Linked DNA regions of Pelodiscus sinensis. The protein of the gene in region 3 purifies or fractionates together with the protein of the main gene of each other region. This does not show direct contact. Links are inferred from orthologs where the notes say so. Each region holds a gene or a part of one and is shown on either strand. Other genes may lie near its edges. The genes, in order: EIF3H, EIF4G3 and EIF4A2.

The links.
Region 1: the proteins of EIF4A2 (region 3) and EIF3H purify together in Homo sapiens (affinity purification with mass spectrometry; 3 studies listed by BioGRID and IntAct, with this or other methods). This does not show direct contact. The link is inferred for Pelodiscus sinensis from reciprocal best matches to the Homo sapiens genes EIF4A2 and EIF3H.
Region 2: the proteins of EIF4A2 (region 3) and EIF4G3 purify together in Homo sapiens (affinity purification with mass spectrometry; 3 studies listed by BioGRID and IntAct, with this or other methods). This does not show direct contact. The link is inferred for Pelodiscus sinensis from reciprocal best matches to the Homo sapiens genes EIF4A2 and EIF4G3.

Annotation. Positions count from the first base shown.
Region 1 is NC_134712.1:23,925,160-23,933,666, forward strand, and holds the start of EIF3H (eukaryotic translation initiation factor 3 subunit H), read left to right. Parts: upstream 1-4,822; 5' UTR 4,823-4,874; coding exon 4,875-4,994; intron 4,995-8,507.
Region 2 is NC_134733.1:3,596,644-3,604,534, reverse strand, and holds the start of EIF4G3 (eukaryotic translation initiation factor 4 gamma 3), read left to right. Parts: upstream 1-4,147; 5' UTR 4,148-4,528; coding exon 4,529-4,722; intron 4,723-7,891. UniProt on the Homo sapiens protein: Component of the protein complex eIF4F, which is involved in the recognition of the mRNA cap, ATP-dependent unwinding of 5'-terminal secondary structure and recruitment of mRNA to the ribosome. Functional homolog of EIF4G1.
Region 3 is NC_134720.1:47,414,244-47,422,074, reverse strand, and holds the start of EIF4A2 (eukaryotic initiation factor 4A-II), read left to right. Parts: upstream 1-4,086; 5' UTR 4,087-4,199; coding exon 4,200-4,228; intron 4,229-5,536; coding exon 5,537-5,582; intron 5,583-5,669; coding exon 5,670-5,802; intron 5,803-6,059; coding exon 6,060-6,199; intron 6,200-7,673; coding exon 7,674-7,831. UniProt on the Homo sapiens protein: ATP-dependent RNA helicase which is a subunit of the eIF4F complex involved in cap recognition and is required for mRNA binding to ribosome.

The DNA.
Region 1 (8,507 bases), on a different chromosome or scaffold from region 3:
GGGCTCTGCAGTATAAGCTGTATGCCACAGAACCTGAAACATGGAACTGTGTAACTGCTGAGATTTTCAGCGGTTACACAAGTACCTAATTACCCACTTTTTAACATCCCTAGTAATAACACCAGAAGTTTCAAGCTGCAGGCCAGTGAAGCTGCTTTTCAAGAATTTTTTGTTAATCTGCCTGCAACAATTTCTACAGTGAGCAATTTTTAAAAAGTAAATTAAGCTTAGTTTGAGTGCTTTGCTTAATAATCTGCTTTGTTCTGTTTGCTACCTCTCTAACCACTTAAAATTCACCTTTCATAGTTAAACTTATTTCTTATTTTTAATATAACCCAGATTGTGGAATTCATAATGGTGGGGGGGAGGGGGACTGTACATATTTTCCTCCGCATTGAGGGAGGAGGTGGATTTCATAATATATCTTTGGGTCTGTACTGAATGCTGAGGCAAGTTCCTTAAGATGAGTCTTCCTAGAGCTGATCTGCAGAATGACAGACACTGAGTTGGGTGTGGCCCTGCCTGTCTGTATCCTGGAGGAGGATTAATATCCTGGTTCAGCAAGATAGGTGGAAAAGATGTCCAGATTGCCACTGCTGGCAGGCTCAGTGGTATCTCAGCACATCAGGTAGCAACCTGTGCGGAGCTCTTGGACACAATTATTGGTATTAGTATAGAATATAAATTGCCATAGGCAAGGTAGTCTAGAATTTTAAGTAGACAGAAGGAAGGCTAGCATAAAGTCATTTCCAAAGTCTACTAACATCCAGGAAATTACATCTTTCAACCTGTTCTGTGGAGAACACTGATTCCCCTTACATTTGTATTACAATTACACCCTACAATATCATATCTCACAACACACTACAATACTCTTTTTATGTAGGCTCAAGGCTATCACTGCTTCATACAAACCTGACCTGTTAGGGTATGTCTACATGGCTGCAGCTGGCTAGGGTCAACTAGTTGAGCCATGCAAGGATCAGAATGCGGGACTGACTATTTCTGTTTAGATGCTTGGGCCGGAGTTTGGGCTCTGGGACCTCCTGTCTCTGAGGGTCCCAGGGCTTGGACTTCAGCCCAAATGTCTACACAACAATTGTATAGCCCCCAAAGCCTTCATTCCCTCTCCTCTAATTCTTCCTGTTGGAAAATCTTCAGTGCTAACTCTTGTCCCCTTAGGTGACACATGTGGGCATGTACAGTCACATTTGTCCCTTGATTTCCTGGTGGGAGTTGGGCTGAGTGCAGCTGAAAGGATTTGCCTGGAAAAGCCACCAGCAGTGAGCACTCCCACGGAGTCACACAGAGCAGAGTGGTGAGACTGGGCTGGCAGCACAGCACTGCCAGATGGGACCTAGAGAAGCCAAATCACGTTCTTTTTATGTCAAAGCAGGTGCAGTTACCTGCTTGAGTATGTGTCTAGACTAGCCTGCCAAGAACTTGGGAGTCTGTTGGGGTAATGGGGAGGAGAGGAAGTGGGGCCTGAGGGAGAGGTGGGGAATCCAGGGAGGCAACAGGGGTGGGTGGAATGCCTAGGGAGAGAGTTGATAGGGGCTGGGAGAAGCAGTAGGGGCCAGGGAGGATTGGGGAAGCAGCAGGGGCCAAGATGCTGGATAAGTCACTGGGGGCCAGCGGGCCATCTTCTCTAAAGCTGACCTGGTAATGCTAGTCTTAACGGTAGGTGACCAACATGGCTTCCATGGTCAGGAGGGTGCCTTGGTGATGGTGGGGCTGCCATTGTGCTCCCATCAATCTCAGCCTGGACCATTCTACATGACAAATCTATTTCCTGGACACCCCAGTACAAATCACCAATGGTAAAATAGACACCACTCTCTACAGAAACCCACCGACACATATAGTTACCTACATGTCTCCAGCTCCCATCCAGAACACACCATACGATCCATCATCTACAGCCAAGCCTTTCAATACAACCGCATCTGCTCTAATCCCACTGATAGAGACCAGAAACTTCAGGATCTCTACCAACCATTTATAAACCTCAACTACTCACCCAGAGAAAGAAAAAAACAAATTGAAAGAGCCAGACGAATACCCAGAAACCATCTACTTCAAGACAGACCCAAGAAAACCAACAATAGAACACCACTTGTCATCACCTACAGCCCCCAACTTAAACCCGTCCAACACATTATCAATAAACTACAACCTATACCAGAACAGGATACTAAACTCCAAGAGGCTCTGGGAGACAGACCCCCATAGTCTCCTATAGACACACCTAACCTCAAGATGATTCTTACCAACAACCACAGGACCTACCACACTAATACCAGCCCTGGAACCTTACCTTGCAACAAACCCTGTTGCCAGCTTTGTCCACATATTCATTCTGCTGATACCATTATTGTACCTAACTTATTGAGTTATAAGATCAAAAACACACATTCCTGCTCATCCAGAAATACAAATTTATTCTCTCATGTGCTAATAATGTCTGTCTGCTATGTACATTGGACAAACGTCTCAGACACTTCGCCAAAGAATCAATGGCCACAAAATAGATATTAGACAGGATCACAAAGAATAAACAGTTTATTGCCATTTCAACCAGAAAGGGCATTGTCTCAAGGACTTAACTACCTCCATCCTGCTTCAAAAACATTTTAACATTAGACTTGAAAGAGAATCCTCTGAACTGTCATTCATGCTTAAATTTGACGCTTTACACCTAGGTCTTAACAAGGACGCTAATTATCATACCCATTACAAAGATAGCTTCCCCAATTATCACCTCTAATATCATTAGCTCACAGTCATTTAACTCCCCCCTCATCCCCTTTCTGTTCTGAAATTTGATTTGTCCTTTTTATATGTGTTCATTTTTTTGATTGTATCCTTTGGTATATATAGTCCTGCCAATTTTCTTCCACTATTTGATCTGAGGAAGTGGGTCTGGCCCACAAAAGCTCATCACCTAGTAAACCATCTTGTTAGTCTTTAAAATGCTACATAGTCCTGTTTTTTGTTTCACCAACACCAGACTAACCTGGCTACATTTCTATTAATATTATTCTCAGTTACCTATGCTTGTCCCCCTCTCCTTTACCCTCAGCCCATATCCTCTTAGGAAGTCTTCAGCACCACATCCTCATTTGCCTTGAATCCTGTTGGTCGGTGGATTGCCAGCACAAGCCCTTAACCAATGATTCAGCCCTGGTCTGATCATAGAATCATATAATCATAGGACTGGAAGGGACCTCGAAAGGTCATCGAGTCCAGCCCCCCGCCCTCAGGGCAGGACCAAGCTCCGTCTACACCATCCCTGACAGATGTCTATCTAACCTGTTCTTAGATATCTCCAGAGAGGGAGATTCCACCACCTCCCTTGGCAATTTATTCCAATATTTGACCACCCTGACAGTTAGGAATTTTTTCCTAATGTCCAATCTAAACCTCCCCTGCTGCACTTTAAGCCCATTACTCCTTGTCCCGTCCTCAGAAACCAAGAGGAACAAATTTTCTCCTTCCTCCTTGTGACACCCTTTTAGATATTTGAAAACCGCTATCATGTCCCCCCTTAATCTTCTTTTTTCCAAACTAAACAAGCCCAGTTCATGAAGCCTGGCTTCATAGGTCATGTTCTCTAGACCTTTAATCATTCTTGTCGCTCTTCTCTGTACCCTTTCCAATTTCTCCACATCTTTCTTGAAATGTGGCGCCCAGAACTGGACACAGTACTCCAGCTGAGGCCTAACTAGTGCAGAGTAGAGCGGCAGAATGACTTCACGAGTTTTGCTTACAACACACCTGTTGATACAACCTAGAATCATATTTGCTTTTTTTGCAGCAGCATCACACTGTTGACTCATATTCAACTTGTGGTCCACTATGACCCCTAGATCCCTTTCCGCCATGCTCCTTCCTAGACAGTCGCTTCCCATCTTGTATGTTTGGAACTGATTGTTCCTTCCTAAGTGGAGCACTTTGCATTTCTCTTTATTAAACTTCATCCTGTTTACCTCTGACCATTTCTCTAACTTGCTAAGGTCATTTTGAATTATGTCCCTATCCTCCAAAGAAGTTGCAACCCCACCCAGTTTGGTATCATCTGCAAACTTAATAAGCGTACTCTCTATCCCAATATCTACATCATTGATGAAGATATTGAACAGTACGGGTCCCAAAACAGACCCTTGAGGAACTCCACTTGTTCTCCCTTTCCAGCAGGATTTAGCACCCTTAACAACAACTCTCTGACTACGGTTATCCAGCCAATTATGCACCCACCTTATCGTGGCCCTATCTAAGTTATATTTGCCTAGTTTATCAATAAGAATATCATGCGAGACCGTATCACCACCTGTCCTAGAGCAAAGCGATGCAACACGTGTGCGTGCTGGGACACGGGCTGCCTTCCTAGGAACAGCTCTATGTCACTTGGCGAGTGACCTTCCCCACCCCCGCACAGTCCTAGTGTGGACGCAGCTCCCGCAGTCGGAAGGCGCTCGGGCTGCTCCAGCACAGCGGCTTCCCCCAGCGCATCCCACGGGGCGGACGTGCCACAACCCGCCCTTCGGCCGCGCTCACACTAACCCGGCACCTTCAAGGCCGCCCCACGGCTTGTCTCTGCACATACGTGTAGGGGGAGGGGCAGGAGAGCCGTGACGACTGATCAGTGACGCGCGTGGGTATATTTCCCTAGCTCCTTCCCCAACACGCACCCCCATTTTCTTCTACGCACGCGCAGTGTCTCCCATCCACTTAACTGCGGCCCTTTTTGACCCTTCCCTTCGTTTCCGTCCGAACCTCGTTCAGGAGCCCACCGCAGGGTTCTTAGCCGCGCTTCCGGTGTTTCATTTTTCTCTTTCCGGCCGGCGAGCGGGTGAGAGGAAGAGTCTCTCAGCATGGCGTCTCGCAAGGAAACCACGGGGCCCGCCAGCACCGTCTCCTCGGTCGCCACTAAAGCCAGGGGCAAGGCGGCCCCGGGGGACTCGGCGGTCAAGCAGGTGCAGATCGACGGGCTGGTGAGTGAGCGGAGGGTCCCTGCGGCCGCTTGGGGGGCGAGCAGAGTTCGGGGCCGCGCGGGGGCAGCGCGGCGTGTAGCTCTGGGCACGTTCTGCGGAGAGAGTCGGTGCCCGCCCTCCCCTCCCCACTGGTATCGGCCTGGGGCAGGCAGGAGTGGCGCCCAGAGGAGCCCGCGCGGCTGGGGGAGAGGCGGTCAGCTCCGCTTGTGCGACCGCCTGTGATGGCTTGTCCGGGGATAAGGGCGGCTGGCTGACGAAACCCCTTCCCAGAGGACAAAGGCAGCTCCTGGCCACCTTCCCCCTGCGGGCTGGTGCTGGTGGTTTCCAGGATATACTAAGGATGTCAAAAAGCGTGTAACTTGTCAGTCGTGTAGTGGACACATTTTTTTGTCGACTACACAATTTATCTTTATGGGGTGGTGCTGCTACCACTCAGTCCCGATTCCTACCAAATCCGGCTCCTACCCCCGCTGTGGCTCTGCATTACAAGCACTTCCAGAATTAATAGCTGGCGCACGGTCAGGCTGGCTCAGTCTTGGCTCATGCCGGGACCCAGCAACTACCCCTGCTGCGGTTCTGCACTGTGCTGGTGTGGGGGTTGATCCTGGGTCTTGCACACGAGCCAGAACTGAGACAGTCTCTGAAAACATCCATTCAATGTGCAGCAGTAGTAAAAAAAACAAAAAACAAAAACAAAAAAAAACCCCAATAACCCAAAGGGCTAGAGAATAAGAGAACATCTTATTTCTTCTATATAAATCCACGGTACACTCATGTCTTGAATAATGTGTGCAGATGTGGCTGCCTAATCTCAAAAAAGATATGTTGGCATTGGAAAAGGTTCAGAAAAGAGCAACAAAATGATTAGGGGGTTGGAATGGGTGCCATATGAAGAGAGAGAAAAAAGACTGGGACTTTTCATGTTAGAAAAGAGGAGACTAAGAGGGGATGTGATAGAGGTCTATAAGATCATGAGTTGTGTGGAAAAAGTGACTAAGGAAGGGTTCTTTACTTTTTCCCATAACATAAGAACTAGGGGGTCACCAAATGAAAGGAATAGGTAGCAGGTTTAAAACAAAAGGAATTTTTGCTCATGCATTGTACAGTGAACCTGTGAAATTCCTTGCCAGAGGATGTTGTGAATACTAGGATTTTAAAAGGGTTAAAAAAGAACTAGATACATTCATGGTGGTTAGGACCATCAGTAGCTGTTAGCCAGGATGGGTAGGAATGGTGTCCCTAGCCTCTGTTTGTCAGAAGCTAGAAATGGATGACAGGACAGGGATCACTTGATGATTCCCTGTTCTGTTCTCTTTCTCTGGGGCATCTGGCATTGGCCACTGTTGGAAGACAGTATGCTGAGCTATATGGACCTTTGGTTTGACCCAGTATGGCTGAGTGCCTGGATCTGTCACCAGCCCCTGCTGTGACTTAGCCACTCAGCCAGCCTGGTTAAAATTTACTTGCAGGGCAGGGGGGTTGCATGTAGTTGATAACATTAACTTATAAAAACTGGTTTATCGGTTAATCATTTAGTCGACTATACTGTTACATTCTTAGGGAGTACCTGGCGTAAATTCCTTCCTAAACTGCCTTAGGAAGTATAGATCAGTACTGCTGTTTGGGGGTGCGTCGAGAGGGGTTGAAAGCTACCTGCAGAGCAATGTTCAGGGTAAAGGCACATGTCCAGGCCGCCTCTGGGACCTGTGGTATTTTGGTAATGGAGTCCAACACTACCTGCTACCAGGGTCTTCCCCCAGTTTCTTTTTTCCACCTTTTAATGTTCCAGCACAGGAAAGGTGCAAGTAAACACAGAATTGTAGTATTGGAAGGGATCTCCAGAAGTCTTCTAGTCCAGTGTTTCTCAACTTACTTTTTCAAAAAAAAAAAAAAAAAAAAGTACCCCTAGTACCTACAGTTTTCAGACATACCATTTTTTTTCTACCATTGTAACACATTTGTTTAAACAATTTAATCGTATCCAGGCGGGCAATGAAATTTTTGGGTATAAAAAGTACAAAAATAATAAAGCTCTGTAAAACTTAAAACAAAATTTCTGTTTTCTCCAAATTTCAGTTGTGTTGATGTATCCCCCAGACTTCTCTCAAATACCCTTAAGGGTACTCAATCACTGGTTGAGAAACACAGTTCTAGTCCAGTCCGCTGTACTTACGGTAGGACTGCGTTTTAACTAGGTCACTGCTGACCAGTGTTCCCTGTAAGCTAAGTGCTTGGGCTCCCACACAAGAGAAGCTCAAATGCTGCACAACTGATTAGCAGAGCACTCAAAGTCTGCAATATGTATTTCTACTGGTGGTGCATATCTGCACATGCCACGGTTCATATAATACAATTTATTTTGCTCATGGATGGAAAAAATTACAGGGAACACTGCTCCAACAGGTATTTAAGTACTTTTAGAAACCTCCAATGACAGAAACTGCAAAACCTCCCTAGGTAATTTTTCCAATGCTGAACTACACTGAGAGCTATGAATCTTTTTCCTAGTATTTTACCTAAACCTCTTTTGCTGTAATTTAAGCGTATGGTTTCTTGTTCTTTCTCCAGAGGTTAACGAGAACAATTTTTTTCTCCTTCTTGTAACAGTTATTTTATTTACTTGAAAACTATTATGTCCCATCTCAGTCTTCTCTATTCCAGACTGAACAAACCCAATTTTTTTCATTCTTTCCTCAAAGATCATGTTAAGTTTTTGTTGCTCTTCTGTGGACTTCCTCCAATTTGTTTATTTTTACATTGCTTATTGTGTCTTTCTTACAGCACTCGTGTTAACATCCCAAAATAATGATTGCTTTTTTGCAACAGCATTGACTTCTTTTAGCTTATAATCTACTCTGATCCCCGATTCCTTTCTGCAGTATTTTCCTAGTCCAGTCATTTCCTATTTTTTTGTATACATATAACCAGTGCTCTCCAAGCCGCAGTGAGCCTCACTCGCCAGCCGCACTGTCCGGTGATCTGCGCATGCGCAGATCGTTCTGTGCATGCGCAGATCGCCCGAACCCGGCTCTTCCGGGTTGTAATCTACTCGCTGTGCGCGAGTAGGTTACATAGTTTGTCAAGCCCTGCATATAACTGATTAGTCCTGCTTAAATGGAATACTTCACATTTGTGTTTGCAGAATTTCATTCTATTACTTCAGACCACTTCTCCAATTTTTCTAAATCATTTTGAATTTTTGTCCTATTTGTCAAAGCATTTGCAACCCCTCCCAGCTTGGTAACAGTCACAAGCTTTATAAGTGTATTCTCTATAGTTTTATCTAAATCAGGGATGAAGATATTGACTGGAACTTGACCCTGAACTGATCCAGGCAGGATACCACTTGATGTGCCCTTCCAGATTCAGTGTGAACCACTGATAACTACTATCTGGGAACTGTTTTCCAATCCTTTATGCATCTACCTCAGTGTTTCCCAATTGGTGCTCCGGGGAGCCCTGGGGTTCCGCGGAGCAAAACTAGGGGTTCTGCGAGGAGCCGGCACTCCCGCG
Region 2 (7,891 bases), on a different chromosome or scaffold from region 3:
CCACACTCCGAACCCTCCGCCCCAGCCTGGAGCCCCTGCCCACACTCCAAACCCTCCGCTCCAGCCTGGAGCCCCTGCCCACACTCCAAACCCTCCGCTCCAGCCTGGAGCCCCTGCCCACACTCCGAACCCTCCGCTCCAGCCTGGAGCCCCTGCCCACACTCCGAACCCTCCGCCCCAGCCTGGAGCCCCTGCCCACACTCCGAACCCTCCGCTCCAGCCTGGAGCCCCTGCCCACACTCCGAACCCTCCGCTCCCAGCCTGGAGCCCCTGCCCACACTCCGAACCCTCCGCTCCAGCCTGGAGCCCCTGCCCACACTCCAAACCCTCCATCCCAGCCTGGAGCCGCTGCCCACACTCCAAACCCTCCGCTCCCAGCCTGGAGCCCCTGCCCACACTCCGAACCCTCCGCTCCAGCCTGGAGCCCCTGCCCACACTCCAAACCCTCCGCTCCAGCCTGGAGCCCCTGCCCACACTCCAAACCCTCCATCCCAGCCTGGAGCCGCTGCCCACACTCCGAACCCTCCGCCCCAGCCTGGAGCCCCTGCCCACACTCCGAACCCTCCGCTCCAGCCTGGAGCCCCTGCCCACACTCCGAACCCTCCGCTCCAGCCTGGAGCCCCTGCCCACACTCCGAACCCTCCGCTCCAGCCTAGAGCCCCTGCCCACACTCCAAACCCTCCGCTCCAGCCTGGAGCCCCTGCCCACACTCCAAACCCTCCGCTCCAGCCTGGAGCCCCTGCCCACACTCCGAACCCTCCGCCCCAGCCTGGAGCCCCTGCCCACACTCCAAACCCTCCGCTCCAGCCTGGAGCCGCTGCCCACACTCCGAACCCTCCGCCCCAGCCTGGAGCCCCTGCCCACACTCCGAACCCTCCGCACCAGCCTGGAGCCCCTGCCCACACTCCGAACCCTCCGCCCCAGCCTGGAGCCCCTGCCCACACTCCAAACCCTCCGCCCCAGCCTGGAGCCCCTGCCCACACTCCGAACCCTCCGCTCCAGCCTGGAGCCCCTGCCCACACTCCAAACCCTCCGCCCCAGCCTGGAGCCCCTGCCCACACTCCAAACCCTCCGCCCCCAGCCTGGAGCCCCTGCCCACACTCCAAACCCTCCGCTCCAGCCTGGAGCCCCTGCCCACACTCCGAACCCTCCGCTCCAACCTGGAGCCCCTGCCCACACTCCAAACCCTCCGCCCCCAGCCTGGAGCCCCTGCCCACACTCCAAACCCTCCGCCCCAGCCTGGAGCCCCTGCCCACACTCCGAACCCTCCGCTCCAGCGTGGAGCCCCTGCCCACACTCCAAACCCTCCGCCCCAGCCTGGAGCCCCTGCCCACACTCCAAACCCTCCGCCCCAGCCTGGAGCCCCTGCCCACACTCCGAACCCTCCGCTCCAGCCTGGAGCCCCTGCCCACACTCCGAACCCTCCGCTCCAGCCTGGAGCCCCTGCCCACACTCCGAACCCTCCGCTCCAGCCTGGAGCCCCTGCCCACACTCCGAACCCTCCATCCCAGCCTGGAGCCCCTGCCCACACTCCAAACCCTCCATCCCAGCCTGGAGCCCCTGCCCACACTCCGAACCCTCCGCTCCAGCCTGGAGCCCCTGCCCACACTCCGAACCCTCCGCTCCAGCCTGGAGCCCCTGCCCACACTCCGAACCCTCCGCCCCAGCCTGGAGCCCCTGCCCACACTCCAAACCCTCCGCCCCAGCCTGGAGCCCCTGCCCACACTCCAAACCCTCCGCTCCAGCCTGGAGCCCCTGCCCGCACTCCAAACCCTCCGCCCCAGCCTGGAGCCCCTGCCCACACTCCAAACCCTCCGCTCCAGCCTGGAGCCCCTGCCCACACTCCGAACCCTCCGCTCCAGCCTGGAGCCCCTGCCCACACTCCGAACCCTCCGCTCCAGCCTGGAGCCCCTGCCCACACTCCAAACCCTCCGCCCCAGCCTGGAGCCCCTGCCCACACTCCGAACCCTCCGCTCCAGCGTGGAGCCCCTGCCCACACTCCAAACCCTCCGCCCCAGCCTGGAGCCCCTGCCCACACTCCAAACCCTCCGCCCCAGCCTGGAGCCCCTGCCCACACTCCGAACCCTCCGCTCCAGCCTGGAGCCCCTGCCCACACTCCGAACCCTCCGCTCCAGCCTGGAGCCCCTGCCCACACTCCGAACCCTCCGCTCCAGCCTGGAGCCCCTGCCCACATTCCGAACCCTCCATCCCAGCCTGGAGCCCCTGCCCACACTCCAAACCCTCCATCCCAGCCTGGAGCCCCTGCCCACACTCCGAACCCTCCGCTCCAGCCTGGAGCCCCTGCCCACACTCCAAACCCTCCGCTCCAGCCTGGAGCCGCTGCCCACACTCCGAACCCTCCATCCCAGCCTGGAGCCCCTGCCCACACTCCAAACCCTCCGCTCCAGCCTGGAGCCCCTGCCCACACTCCGAACCCTCCGCTCCAGCCTGGAGCCCCTGCCCACACTCCGAACCCTCCGCTCCAACCTGGAGCCCCTGCGCACACTCCAAACCCTCCGCTCCAGCCTGGAGCCCCTGCCCTCCGGGAGGAAGCCGCGGCGGGGGCTTGTCCAATGTCTCCGAACAGCCGAGTGTTGCCGAAGCGACCCGAGCCCCTCTCGGCCGGGGCCGAGCGCTTCCGAAGCGGCGAGCTCCCGAGGGGCCCCTGCGCCCGAAGCCCGCGTTCGGCAATTTCCGAAGTTGCCCGACCAGGCCTGAACGCGCCTCCGGAAGGAGCCGAAGTGCTCCGAGAGCCCTGAGGCCGAGCGGTTCCGGAGGGGGCCGAAGTGCTCCGAGAGCCCTGGGGCCGAGCGGTTCCGAAAGGAGCCGAAGTGCTCCGAGAGCCCTGAGGCCGAGCGGTTCCGAAAGGAGCCGAAGTGCTCCGAGAGCCCTGGGGCCGAGCGGTTCCGAAAGGAGCCGAAGTGCTCCGAGAGCCCTGAGGCCGAGCGGCTCCGGAGGGGGCCGAAGTGCTCCGAGAGCCCTGGGGCCGAGCGGTTCCGAAAGGAGCCGAAGTGCTCCGAGAGCCCTGAGGCCGAGCGCTTCCGGAGGGGGCCGTAGTGCTCCGAGAGCCCTGTGGCCGAGCGGTTCCGGAAGCAGTCGAAGTGCTCCGAGAGCCCTGGGGCCGAGCGGTTCCGGAAGGAGCCGAAGTGCTCCGAGAGCCCTGGGGCCGAGCGGTTCCGAAAGGAGCCGAAGTGCTCCGAGAGCCCTGGGGCCGAGCGGTTCCGAAAGGAGCCGAAGTGCTCCGAGAGCCCTGAGGCCGAGCGGTTCCGAAAGGAGCCGAAGTGCTCCGAGAGCCCTGAGGCCGAGCGGTTCCGGAAGGAGCCGAAGTGCTCCGAGAGCCCTGGGGCCGAGCGGTTCCGGAAGGAGCCGAAGTGCTCCGAGAGCCCTGGGGCCGAGCGGTTCCGGAAGGAGCCGAAGTGCTCCGAGAGCTCTGTGGCCGAGCGGTTCCGGAAGGAGCCGAAGTGCTCCGAGAGCCCTGAGGCCGAGCGGTTCCGAGAGGAGCCGAAGTGTTCCGAGAGCCCTGAGGCCGAGCGGCTCCGGAAGGAGCCGAAGTGCTCCGAGAGCCCTGTGGCCGAGCGGTTCCGGAAGGAGCCGAAGTGCTCCGAGAGCCCTGAGGCCGAGCGGCTCCGGAAGGAGCCGAAGTGCTCCGAGAGCCCTGAGGCCGAGCGGTTCCGAAAGGAGCCGAAGTGCTCCGAGAGCCCTGAGGCCGAGCGGTTCCGGGAGGAGCCGAAGTGCTCCGAGAGCCCTGAGGCCGAGCGGTTCCGGGAGGAGCCGAAGTGCTCCGAGAGCCCTGAGGCCGAGCGGTTCCGGGAGGAGCCGAAGTGCTCCGAGAGCCCTGTGGCCGAGCGGTTCCGAAAGGAGCCGAAGTGCTCCGAGAGCCCTGAGGCCGAGCGGCTCCGGAAGGAGCCGAAGTGCTCCGAGAGCCCTGAGGCCGAGCGGTTCCGGAAGGAGCCGAAGTGCTCCGAGAGCCCTGAGGCCGAGCGGCTCCGGAAGGAGCCGAAGTGCTCCGAGAGCCGTGAGGCCGAGCGGTTCCGAAAGGAGCCGAAGTGCTCCGAGAGCCCTGAGGCCGAGCGGTTCCGGGAGGAGCCGAAGTGCTCCGAGAGCCCTGTGGCCGAGCGGTTCCGAAAGGAGCCGAAGTGCTCCGAGAGCCCTGAGGCCGAGCGGCTCCGGAGGGGGCCGAAGGCGCCCGAGCGTCCGTCCTGCCGGACTGCTGGAGGCGGCCGCAGCGCCATGTTTGATGCTCCGCTACTTGAGTGAGGAAAATCCGCCGGCATCGCCCGAGAGCCGCCACCGCGAAGGGCGCCGCCTGCCCCGGGGAGGGGGCCCGAGACTCCCGGCCGCCGGCGGCCCATGAGCAGCGCGGCCTGAGCGGCCCCTCTCCCCCCAGCCCTCCCGGAGGCGCGTTGTCACGGAGACCGGCCGGTGGTGCTGGCCCGCCGGGCTGCCCCTGCCCCCGCGCCGTCCCCCGGCCCGCTCCCCCCCGCCCCGGGCCCCGCTCCCCGCGCGGGGCTGGTGGCTGCGCGTTGCGATGAGTGTCCCGCAGAAGGCGGCTCTGAAGCCCGGCTCAGCGGCTGCCGCGGCGGCGGGGACCGGCCCCGGGAGCGGGGCAGCGGCGGCAGCGGGGCCGCCTCCCCCAGGGGCTGCCCCTCACCCGGCGGCAGCTGCGGGGGCGCCCCCGCCTCACCCCAACATCAGGGGCTTACAGAGCCAGCCGCCCCAACAGTATCCTTTCCGCCTGGCCCCCCGGCTGAGCCCCTCGGGGGGGGGAGTTGGCCCGCACAGGGATGGGGTGTGCAGGGGCCTAGCCCCCCAGTAGGGCAGGGTGCGGGGGATGGGAACTGCAGCCCGGAATCTATGTAAGTGAGCGGGGCTTCCTTCAGGAGTGGGGAGCACCCTAAAGTGTGGCAGGAGCGAGGGCCGACCCCCTTTCTCGTGGAGATTCACCGTTGTTTGTGCAGATGGGGTTACACCCCCATATTCTTGTGGGAGGGTTGGGGGCTTTTATCCCCCACTGTGGTGGTGGGGGGCGCTATATTATTTCAGCATAGGCAACTGAGGAATTACATCTATTGATAGTCCTATTATGAGAAGGAGGCATATTCCACTCTACTTGAAATACAGACTGCAGGGTGAGCTATACCCATCTTTACATCTCTTGGGGAAGGGAGTAGGGGATGACTACAACCTGTGCCCCCAAAGTAGTAGTAGTGCAAATAATAAATGTCAGTTGTGTGTGGTGAAGTATATCTGGCCATGTTGAGGTAAGTTGTGGGGTTTGTTTGTTTTTTTACTCAGGAGAAAAGTGAAATTAGCTAGGGAGCTGGACTGTGAATTGTGGATTTTTTAAATTATGATTTTTATTTGTAGTGGAAGTAAATCCATGTGGAAATGTCACAGTAGACATCTTTTTCTGTAAATAGGTCTGGTGTGAGGAGGAAATTTTCAATAAGACCCCCCTCCAAAAACGTTAGTGCTTGAAAGAAAAGCCAGTGTTTCTTTCAGTGTGAACGTTTTAATTCTTCAGGCCTGAAGTCTGGAGGTAAATACTGCAGAGATCATCAGGAAAGTTGTGTGTCCATACATGCATGTTGCATGTTTCTAATGCTGGACAGCATCCTTGAAAAGTTGTTGAATTTTCAGTGACTTTTGGGAGGGTATGAAGAAAGATCCTGATAGAAAATCAGTGGAGGTGAAATGATCAATCAATCAATATGTTAACCTGAGAATGTTTCATGCACTAAGATGTCTGTATTGGTGGTTGTCAGCTAGAAGTGTTAGTTTCACTTTGGGTTAGTACTAATGTTTATTTTTTTTAAATAAGGAAGTGCTGACTATTTTTATAAAGAGGTCATACTGTCCAAGAGTTGTATAATGTATACACAAAACATATTTCTCATACAGTGTACAATGAGTTTACTGCTCTTACTTTCATTTTGAAGTGGCAAAATCAAGGCCTTTCATAATCTGTTAGGCCTGTTGTTTTCTTGAGATCTCAGAGTCATTCTTGCTGCTAACCACAAATATTTTTTTAAATCAGGAGGTTGCTGATGATACAGATCTGTTTGGGTCAAAGTGAAGTCTTAAGAGTGGTAACTCGGGTGAACTCTTACCTCTTTCCTTGTATTTTTGGCTAGCTTGTAATATGATATTTTTAAAAGTTCTTACTGAATAGTGAGAATAACTTAAACGTTTTTTCCCCAAGTAAGCATGGCATTGCTAAGTAAAACTATTGCTCGGGGAACTTGTGGGAAAGTTAGTTGACTGTCTGGCTTTTACATATTAAGTCAGTGCTCAGCTGGTCTATACAGCAAGCTGCTGTTTGTCTGAACTTTTTTTAACTTTCCACTTGTCATACAGTACAGTACTTTTGTGTCTCGATAGTTAAATGGTTTCTGCTTGCCTGCGTGCTAGGCTTTCAAAAGTCTGTTTTAAAGTAATCGTTAAAAGCATCTTTGAGTGACTTGAATACTTTATTGAATGCTAGTTTAGTGTACATTGCAAGACTGGTGTATACTTCGAGAATAATACTGGAAAATGTCATCACATTTGGTAAATTCTGTGATGCTATTTGACCAAAGACATTTTGTGTGTTAGAGGGAGGAGAGTGAATTAATCCTAGAAGGGAGCAAAAAGGGTTCACAGTGAGAGTGGTTGATTGTGTCATAAAGGAGCCAGTAGTGGTGCTACAGCCTGTCACTTCAAATGAATGTGGTTAGGTGCTAAGAAGAAGAGAAATAAAGAGAAGTGTGAGGTAAATAAGATGAGCTTAGCAGGTGTAAATCTAGAGGAGGAACAATGATAAGATTGGATTTTATTATTTATGTTTAGTGACTTGATTGTGTTATATATATTTTTACTTAATAAAATGCCTGAACCTTTAACGCTACAACTGTCTTTTTTGATATATACAAATGCTTCATTCGCTCTTTCATTTTTCTTTAAATATACTTAAGTATCCCAGATATTCTTCTCAGAAATCTGGAAGTGTATGTAAATGAAGACTGGTACCTACTATAAATTGTACTGTGATTGTATTTGTGAACAGTATTGGGTTTTTGGATGTTAGTTTCTTAAACACTTATTGAAATGCAGAGGGTCATTCAGATTCCTTTTTATTTTTGTTCTGTTTGTTTCTAAATGTTTTTGTAACATCAAGAGAAAATTACCCGCTACAGCACCAAACATCCTCCTGGCATCCTGGGGTGAACTGCATATGTCCTTGTTTGCTCCCCAACACAGTAAAGGGATTCATTTGTTGATGCAAGTGGTCAGTGTACTGTACATTGATAGTAGTGTTCAAGAGCTGAATCAATTTTACAATGCTGAAACTGGGCTTACAGGGTTAGTTTTGTGTCCTTGTCTCTTCAGCAACATTTCTTATACTTTGTTAATTTTAGAATAGTTATTGTACACTTTAACAGTAAGAATAGACAGGACTGTGTAGGAGAAGAGCTGGTGCCTATCCACTCAGTGTGTAATGGGAGAAAAGAATGAAAAAATGAGACATGATCCGAAAGGTGGGAGGGGAAGAGGGAGAAGGGAATTTTTTAAAAAGGAAGGTGAAACTGTTAAGGTGTAAAGAACAGACATGTTTCTAATGGGGGTCCATTCTGGTGGTCTAATCTAGCATATTGATTAGAAAGCTATTTTTGTGACTATTACAAGACAAAGATGAACTCTGAAATTAGGATGTTAAATGGCAGTCACCTAGCTAATCGTATAGTTGATGCAATCTGTATCGACTGTACGATTAGTCGATAGGACGGCTCTTCAGAGTCGCAGCGGGGGTAGCTCCAGGAGTGGACTTGAGCCGGGACCGAGCAATTCCAGCTTGTACTGGGAGCCACCGGCACTGCGACTCTGCATTTTAAATGTAGTAAGAGCTGCTGGG
Region 3 (7,831 bases):
AATTCTAATGGCTAACTTGGGTGACCCTTCATGCCCCCTCCCTGTTCCTCTGCATGGCCCTCCCTGCAGCCCCTCCCTTCCAGGCACCTGTTGCCTATGTATACATGCCAAGAACAACCATAGCAAATATCTTATGCTTGTGGCTGCTTGCAGTCTACAGGGACCTTATAACCTATGTGGCAATGCTCTGGCCCCCATGGATCCCCATGGATCCTGCATGTCTAGGCAGTTATTGTATGCCTCAGAGGCTCGCTGTGGTCCTCCACACTGCCTTTTATCTTTGCTTGAGGCCAGAGTCACAGCTTACTGAACCATTCTCATCATTGGCAGTCAAAGAAATGGGAGGAATCCCTCTTCTAATCCTGGCCTCCTTTACCCAGGAACAGACTTTTTTTAGTAGTTTGCGGAGGTTTGGGGGAACCCGGGCCTGCCTGCCCACTACTCCAGGCTCCAGCCCAGGGATCCTACATAGCAGCCATTGTCAGGCTATGTCTACACTCGCGGCTTCTTGCAAGAAATATGCAAATTAAGCTAAGCGTGGAATATCACCGAGCCTCATTTGCATACCTAATGAGCCACCATTTTTGCATAAGAGGCTTTTGCTCCAGAAGGAATTGTCTACACTGCTCCTTCTTGTGCAAGAAAAACCCTCTTGCGCAATGCAGTTATTCCTGAAAATAATCGGCGTAATGGCATTGTGCAAGAGGATTTTTCTTGTGCAAGAAGGGGCAGTGTAGACAGCTCCTTCTGGCGCAATAGCCTCTAAAAATGGTGGCTCATTAAATATGCAAATGAGGCTCCACAATATTCTACACTTAGCCTCATTTGCATATTTCTCACATAAGAAGCCACGAGTGTAGACATAGCCTCAGGGTTTTTCCCCCTACCACCAATATAGCAGCCTTTTCCCTGGGCTATTTCCCCAAACGCTCCACTGATACCTGAGCAAATCTTTCCTGCTTCAACCCAAATATTCTCACTGTTTTGTACTCTCTAGCCACCCCCTTCCTCCTCTCAGTCCTCCACTCTTCTCCTTCCCCCTCCCTTACCTGCGGAAGAATCCTTTTAAAATAGCCCAGCAGGCCTTAATTTGCTGCAGGTGCCCACTTAGTTTGCTACTTCAGGCAATCTCTTAAATAGACTCAAGTGCCTGCCTGCAGTCTCTGGCAGTTTATTTAGACAACAGAAAACCATTCACCCAGCTACCCTCCACCAAACTACTGTAGCCAACTTCCCTGGGTATATTACACCTATGAATGTACCAAAAGGTAGTTGAGTCCAATGGTGCTCCGTTCAAATGAGAAATAAATCACCAAATCATATAATAAATCAAAATAGTCATGCAAATAGCTAGTGTATGGGTCTGCGCATGTTGGAGCCATGCTGCCAAATCCTGCTCTCCCTGAAATCAATAGGAAAAAAAACACTCTGACATCAGTTGGAAGTGGATTGGGTCAAGTGCTCTCATAGGAGCAAAACTAGAACATAACTATCCATATTCAAAATTAATAACTTTGCTTATTTACACCTATTTTTCAAAATATAGCCAGTGCATGAGCTTTCAAAGAAGTTTAGTTATCAGGAAAGTTTAAGGCACACGAGGTAAAGGCAGACACAAAGGTTCTGATTATTGCCTGGAATCATTTTTTTTTAATTACAAATTAAATTATGCATAAAATGATGACTTAGTTCCTTGCACCTCCTGCCTTCCACAGAAATCTTCCCATTTACCTATGGATTTTTAGTCCTCATTATCTCTTTCTATATAAAATGTTTTTCATGCCAGGTGACAGAATGACATTATTTCACTCTCAGGCCATGAAAGCAGTCAGAAAGAGGAGGGGTTGGCAAGCGTAGTGAGCATGGGGCACAGCCTGCTAGTAACATTAAAATATACAGTTTTGTGGTTTCCTTACAACATAAAGGTACACTCTGTATATTTGGATTTATCTAACTAAACAGAAAGAAATGGCGTGTTCACTATCTTTTAGCTTTATCTAAGAGTCCATTAGCTCTAACTAGAAATCTAATTGTGCCAGTGTGACCTTTTGCCGTTCAACCCAGACCAGTAAGAGGTTGCCACCACTTGTCCTGTAACCCCAAGTGCTGTGACTCACAGCCTGAACACCCACAGTCAGCAGGTAAGCATGCAGTTTCCTGAGTATCTGTGTGCTAGAACTCCAGCAGCCAGCCTACACTACCACAACCCTACACTGGTCTCAATCTGCGTTGTTTACTACTTTCAGGTTAACCCCAACACACACCAAGTTCTGAAATTTCCCCAAACTGTCCCAAAAGTATCCAGCCCTCTCCTGGAATACTCAGAAGCAATAAGATTTGTTTTCCTTTAAAGAAACAAAAGCACAACTCATTATTTTACCTAGAACTAATAACCACTTCAGTTCAAATTAAGGTTGTCAGCTTTTCCAGTAGGACAGACCAGATGCCATTGCCATGAATGGCATCTAATCTGTCTGGTCAGGAATGTTGGCAACCCTAATTCTGGGCTGAGTTAGATTATGTAACAAAATGTAATAAAAAAGTGATAGGTCTTATGTGAGTTCAATTACAAGAGATAAAGAAACGATTACAAGAAAATAAAAGCAAAATAAGCTTTCTAGAGATGAAAACTTAAACTACAATCTTTGTTCAAGGTAGATTTCTTACCCATGTTTCTTCTTTCCAGACATAGTTGATTTTCTCTTTGTCAGGGCCTTTTACGGAACTACAGGACTTTGCTTTTCTTCCTATGCGAAAGATAACTTGGGATTCTTTGCCCCTCTCTTTTACAGTCCAGTGAACTTTAGAAATGTATCTTTCTCAAAGAAAAGTGCAATTAATCTAATGGAGAGGTTCCATGCTGGATTCTTTCCCACTGGTGCTTTCTATAATACAAATTGATGGGTTCCTCCAACCTCTGTTATGTCAATGTCTGCCAAATGTCTGCAACTGAACTTGGATGGAGCCATCAGCTTTTCCTTTGCTTGGAAAAAACATGTTTGCCAACTTTCCCAGACTTTTCTGGTCCAAACACATTTTAGTCCCATATTTCTTTCATATTTGTGTAGTCATTTAGGTCTCACACACATAAGCGATGCAGGAATCAGTCTGTCAGGGGGTTTTCTAATATTACCTTACACAACAGATGCAGATTATAACATATATTACATTAATTGGGATATACTGAACTGGTCAGGCCAGCTGAAACTCACTACCCCATTTCCCCTGCAATTTGTTCTCTGAGATGCTTCCACACGGGGTTCTACAGCTTCTCCTTCCCCTTGTCTTGCTCCAGTATTGCCAAAGCCATGCATTCAAAACTATCAATCAACCCACCCCAAAGACACCACAAGATTGATTTAAAAATATCAAAAGATTTTTTTTTCTTTCAATTCTTTTTGGGGTTCTTTGGCTGCTGGTCTCATTTTGAAGACTTTCAGAGGATGGTTTTCCAGCCTTTCCCCACAAGGGGTAGACTTTGGTGGGTGGGAGGAGGGAGATAAATGAATGCCTAGAGTCTCCCATAATCCCATGACTCCTGGAGCTCGGGCTTGGCACCAGCATTATAAGACTGGTGATAAAATCCTGTCATGTGGGCTTTCCCCACTGCTGATGCTCAGGCTTTGACCCATTAATCCTTCTCAGCAAGTGCCACTTTCCCCCTCTCCTCCTGGGACCCACATACCCTCCACCCCCAGCTCCCTTCCTCTTTCTTTGCCCCTTTCTCTAGGACTCAGCTACCCCGCTCCTCTTTCCCCCCTCCCCCACTCTCGCTCTCCTCCCCCTCCCGCTCTGAGGCTGTCTGCAGCACGGGCGGCCAAAGAAACCCCGTGCTCAAGCGGTGGGGGCACGAGCAGGATGAGGAAGGAGTGAGACACTGTCACAGCGCCAACTGCTGCAATATCCTTCCGCCTTCGCGTCACACAAAAGAGTCCCCATCTCCGCCCGATCTTTTGGCCGTTGCAGCCTCACGAACCCCACGAGAAATATCATACTCCGTGGTCGTGGGGCTATCCGTGACACAGGTAAACTCTAAACGGGGCATGTATATGGCTCGGGCTGTGTGACGATAGACATATGCCTCCGCTGTGAAGGGCGGAACGAGTTCCGGCAGCTGGATGGCTATATAAAGCCGGCGCCGGGAAGGCGCTGCCTTTTCAGTTGAGGGCAGAACAGACGTGGGGGCTGGAGACCGGAACATGTCAGGTGGTACTACGGATTATAGCAGGTATTCCTGGGTTTGGGGGGCGAGTTCGTGTCTTGTTTTCGTTCTGAGGTGATTTTAAAAGGAAGGCGGGGGAGGAGGAAGCGTGTGCGATGTCGGCTCGCTGCCGTTGGTGGGAAGTGCCAGCCCCGGTGGGTCCCTCTCGCGCTCGTCTGATCGGCCAGTTCTTCCCGCAGCTTGTCCGTTGCGGGGACCCGCCTCTCCACAACCCCCACTCCTGTGGCCCGACCTCATTCGACTTCGAAGGAAGCCGGCCATGGCGTTTCGGCTTGCAACCCCTTCTCCCGCCCCTTTTGGTTCATTCCGGCGCTTCCTGAACCCGGCTTCGGGCGAGTTCATTTTCACGCAGAGGGGGAGGGGCGCGGCCCTCCGGGCGCGTTCCTCCGCCTGCGTAGTGAGTCGGATTTGCGCAATCCCCGGGGGTGGGTGGAGCTCTCGCGAGAGTTGGCCGGTGGTGGCTGAGCAAGGCGGGGTGCCGCGGGAAACTCTTTGCTCTGGGTTCTACAGACGAGCTGGCCCAGGCGCGGGCCGCTCTTGCCTCCACCCTCGCCAGGCGGGTGCTGCAGCGCTCAGAGCAGATCCCGCCATTAGGGTGAGAGTGCTGGGGGGGGGGGGGGGCGCACCCTCTGCCACGTGCCGCTTCCGCGGCGAGGGAGGTGCTGCACGTTGGGGCCTGCTAGCTCTGCGTGCCGTACTGCCCTTTGGGGTGTGCCGCGCCTAGAAATATATAGGTGATCTTACACCAGCGATGGGCAGCCTAAGCCTATGATTGGCCCTCCATCTCCGTGGGGGCTGCAAGATTATTGGAACCAAGACAGTTTCCTGGGATAGGATAGTTTTGCTAATTTCGTATGTGTCTGTAATTTGCAGGGTGTATCCCTCAAACCATAGCAGTGCCTCAGATGAATGCAGAGGGAGTGTATGGCGGTCTCAGTCAATGTGTGCAATCAGCATGAATCTCGCTTTAGTAATACCAGTAGGAAAAAACCTGCACAGGGCAGCCCCTGGCTGCGGGCGACAGTGGAGACTTGGGGTAATGGCATACATATGAATGAGGTGCAAAGGAGATGTAGTTTCCAGGCTGGCAAAATGCTAAAGCATTTGCTAGCATAATCAATCAATCACTGGTTTAAGTTCTAATGGAGTGAGAAATGCTAGTGGTATCCGAGCAAAATGCAGGACAATGTAGCACTTTAAAGACTAACAAGATGGTTTATTAGATGATTAGTGGTATCCAAGATATAGAGATCCTGTCCTACATGGCATTTGTTAGCTGCAAAGAGTGTTAACAGCCTGCTTTTTTGGCAACAGAGACCATGGCGGCCCAGAGGGAATGGACCCTGATGGTGTCATTGAGGTGAGCAGCAGCATAATAGCCTTTAGACCCAAATTCAGTATGGGCATAGGTAATAGAGTAATAATCTGCCTCTTTTCCTTCTTACAGAGCAATTGGAATGAAATTGTTGACAATTTTGATGATATGAATTTAAAAGAATCCCTTCTCAGGGGTATTTATGCTTATGGTTTTGAAAAGCCTTCAGCTATTCAGCAGAGAGCTATTATTCCATGTATTAAAGGTAGGCAAGCACAAAAAAATTTTATGTCTGGTCATCAATAGCAGATATACATGTTAGAAAATAGGTCTTTTTTAAATGTATGTACTTTATGCACTTGTATTTAAGTGTGGTGATGGCATACTACTTTTAATTCTTGCTTGAAAAAGGGAGATGAATGGAGAGGTCTTAATTGCTGATCACTTACTTCAAAAGGAATAGAATTAAACTAAATATGAATTACTTGTGGGAGGAGTAAATATATATCCTACTTTTTTTAGGGTATGATGTGATTGCTCAAGCTCAGTCAGGTACTGGCAAGACAGCCACATTTGCTATTTCCATCCTGCAGCAATTGGAGATTGATCTCAAGGAGACCCAAGCACTAGTATTGGCCCCTACCAGAGAACTGGCTCAACAGGTATTGATAGTGTAGTTAAAAAAAGCTGCTTGCGCGTTGCATAGGTTTCGGGTTTCACAACTGTGAAGGACAGTTAACAGATCTTTTTAAAGGAATCTGTAACTGTAATATCCATTCAGAATCCTTGTTGCTTTGAGTGTAATGGGGAAACAGACTAGCTTCTGTTTTAGGTTTTCCCTATCCACGTAAAGAGGGAGTTAAGATGTGACTTCGGGAGATGATGCTGGGACATGGTGCAGGTAACAGCTGATATGCTGTGTAGTTCTGAATGGGCATCTCCCAGCAAATGGTGAAATCTTAAAAATGATATGATAAAGTGGTAAATTTTTTAATATTTGTATTTTTTTATTGTTTTTGTAAGCCGCCTTGAATATTTTAAATGGAAAGGCGGGGTAAAAATATTTAAATAAGCAATATGTTCTGAGTGGAAACAATGCATTTGAGTGTGCAGTTGTGCAACATGAAAACTGCAGTGCACATATGATCATTGTCTTGTGGTGTCTGTCCCATGCTTCCTCGCATGTTTACTTCACCCTCAAAAGATTCAAGTAATTTATTCATCTTAAAGTGGAGCTGTTTCGTGGTTCTCCAGATTAAAATTACAGGATTCAATGTTAAATGGTTCTAAGAATCCATTGATTCATGGTTTAGTGATACAAGTGAAAGTATAAATAGCAATCTTAAAACCAAATTGCAGACCATTTTATACAGCACAAAAAATTTGCTTAGCACTCAAGTGAGGATATCTTTGGCTTCCTCAGATCAAAGATCAGAGTTTTGCTATGCTTGGATAGTTGTCCAAAGATGATTCTAAACCCCAAATTGATCAAAGTCTAAAAGATATTGAGGAAAAATTATGGTGCTAGATTAGTCAGTTTAGTGGATATCTCTCATTAGATTGTTCACTAATATTTTTACTCTGCCACTGCCTTCACAAAATGAGACTAACTAGAACTGGGTATTTTGCAGGTGATGCTACCTGCATCATTTGGCCTTAACACTGAGGGTCTTGTTTGCCTAACAAAGCAATGAGTTTACCACATAGCTGAGTAGATTGTCTGACCAAAAACAAGTCTCGGCTTGGCTGGCAAGCTGTTCTGCTAGTGCATGTCACCAGAGATGGCTTTCTCAACTCTGTTGAAACTTTGCAGTTTGGCTTGTATGAAAGAAAATTCCTTATCGTATCTGAAGGAAAAGTTCTAGGGTGCAGTTGATAATAGAACTGTGTTGGTAAGAAAATAACTAGTATAAATTCATCCCAAGAAACTAACATGTTGATTATGCCTTTGGTGGTACTCTTGAATTAATATTTTAAATACATTTTGGGGAGTTTAGTACTAACTCTGACTCAGTTACCATACCAGGCAAGTGCATGATACTTGTTCAGAACTGAATAGTGAATTATAGGAATCCGTTTTGGAACCTAGAGAAAGTTAACACATTGGAAGTACTGACTTCAAGGTTTTTATTTTAGATACAAAAAGTAATTCTGGCTCTTGGTGACTATATGGGCGCAACATGCCATGCTTGTATTGGTGGCACAAATGTTCGCAATGAGATGCAGAAGCTTCAGGCTGAGGCTCCACACATTGTTGTTGGAACTCCTGGTCGTGTGTTTGATATGTTAAACAG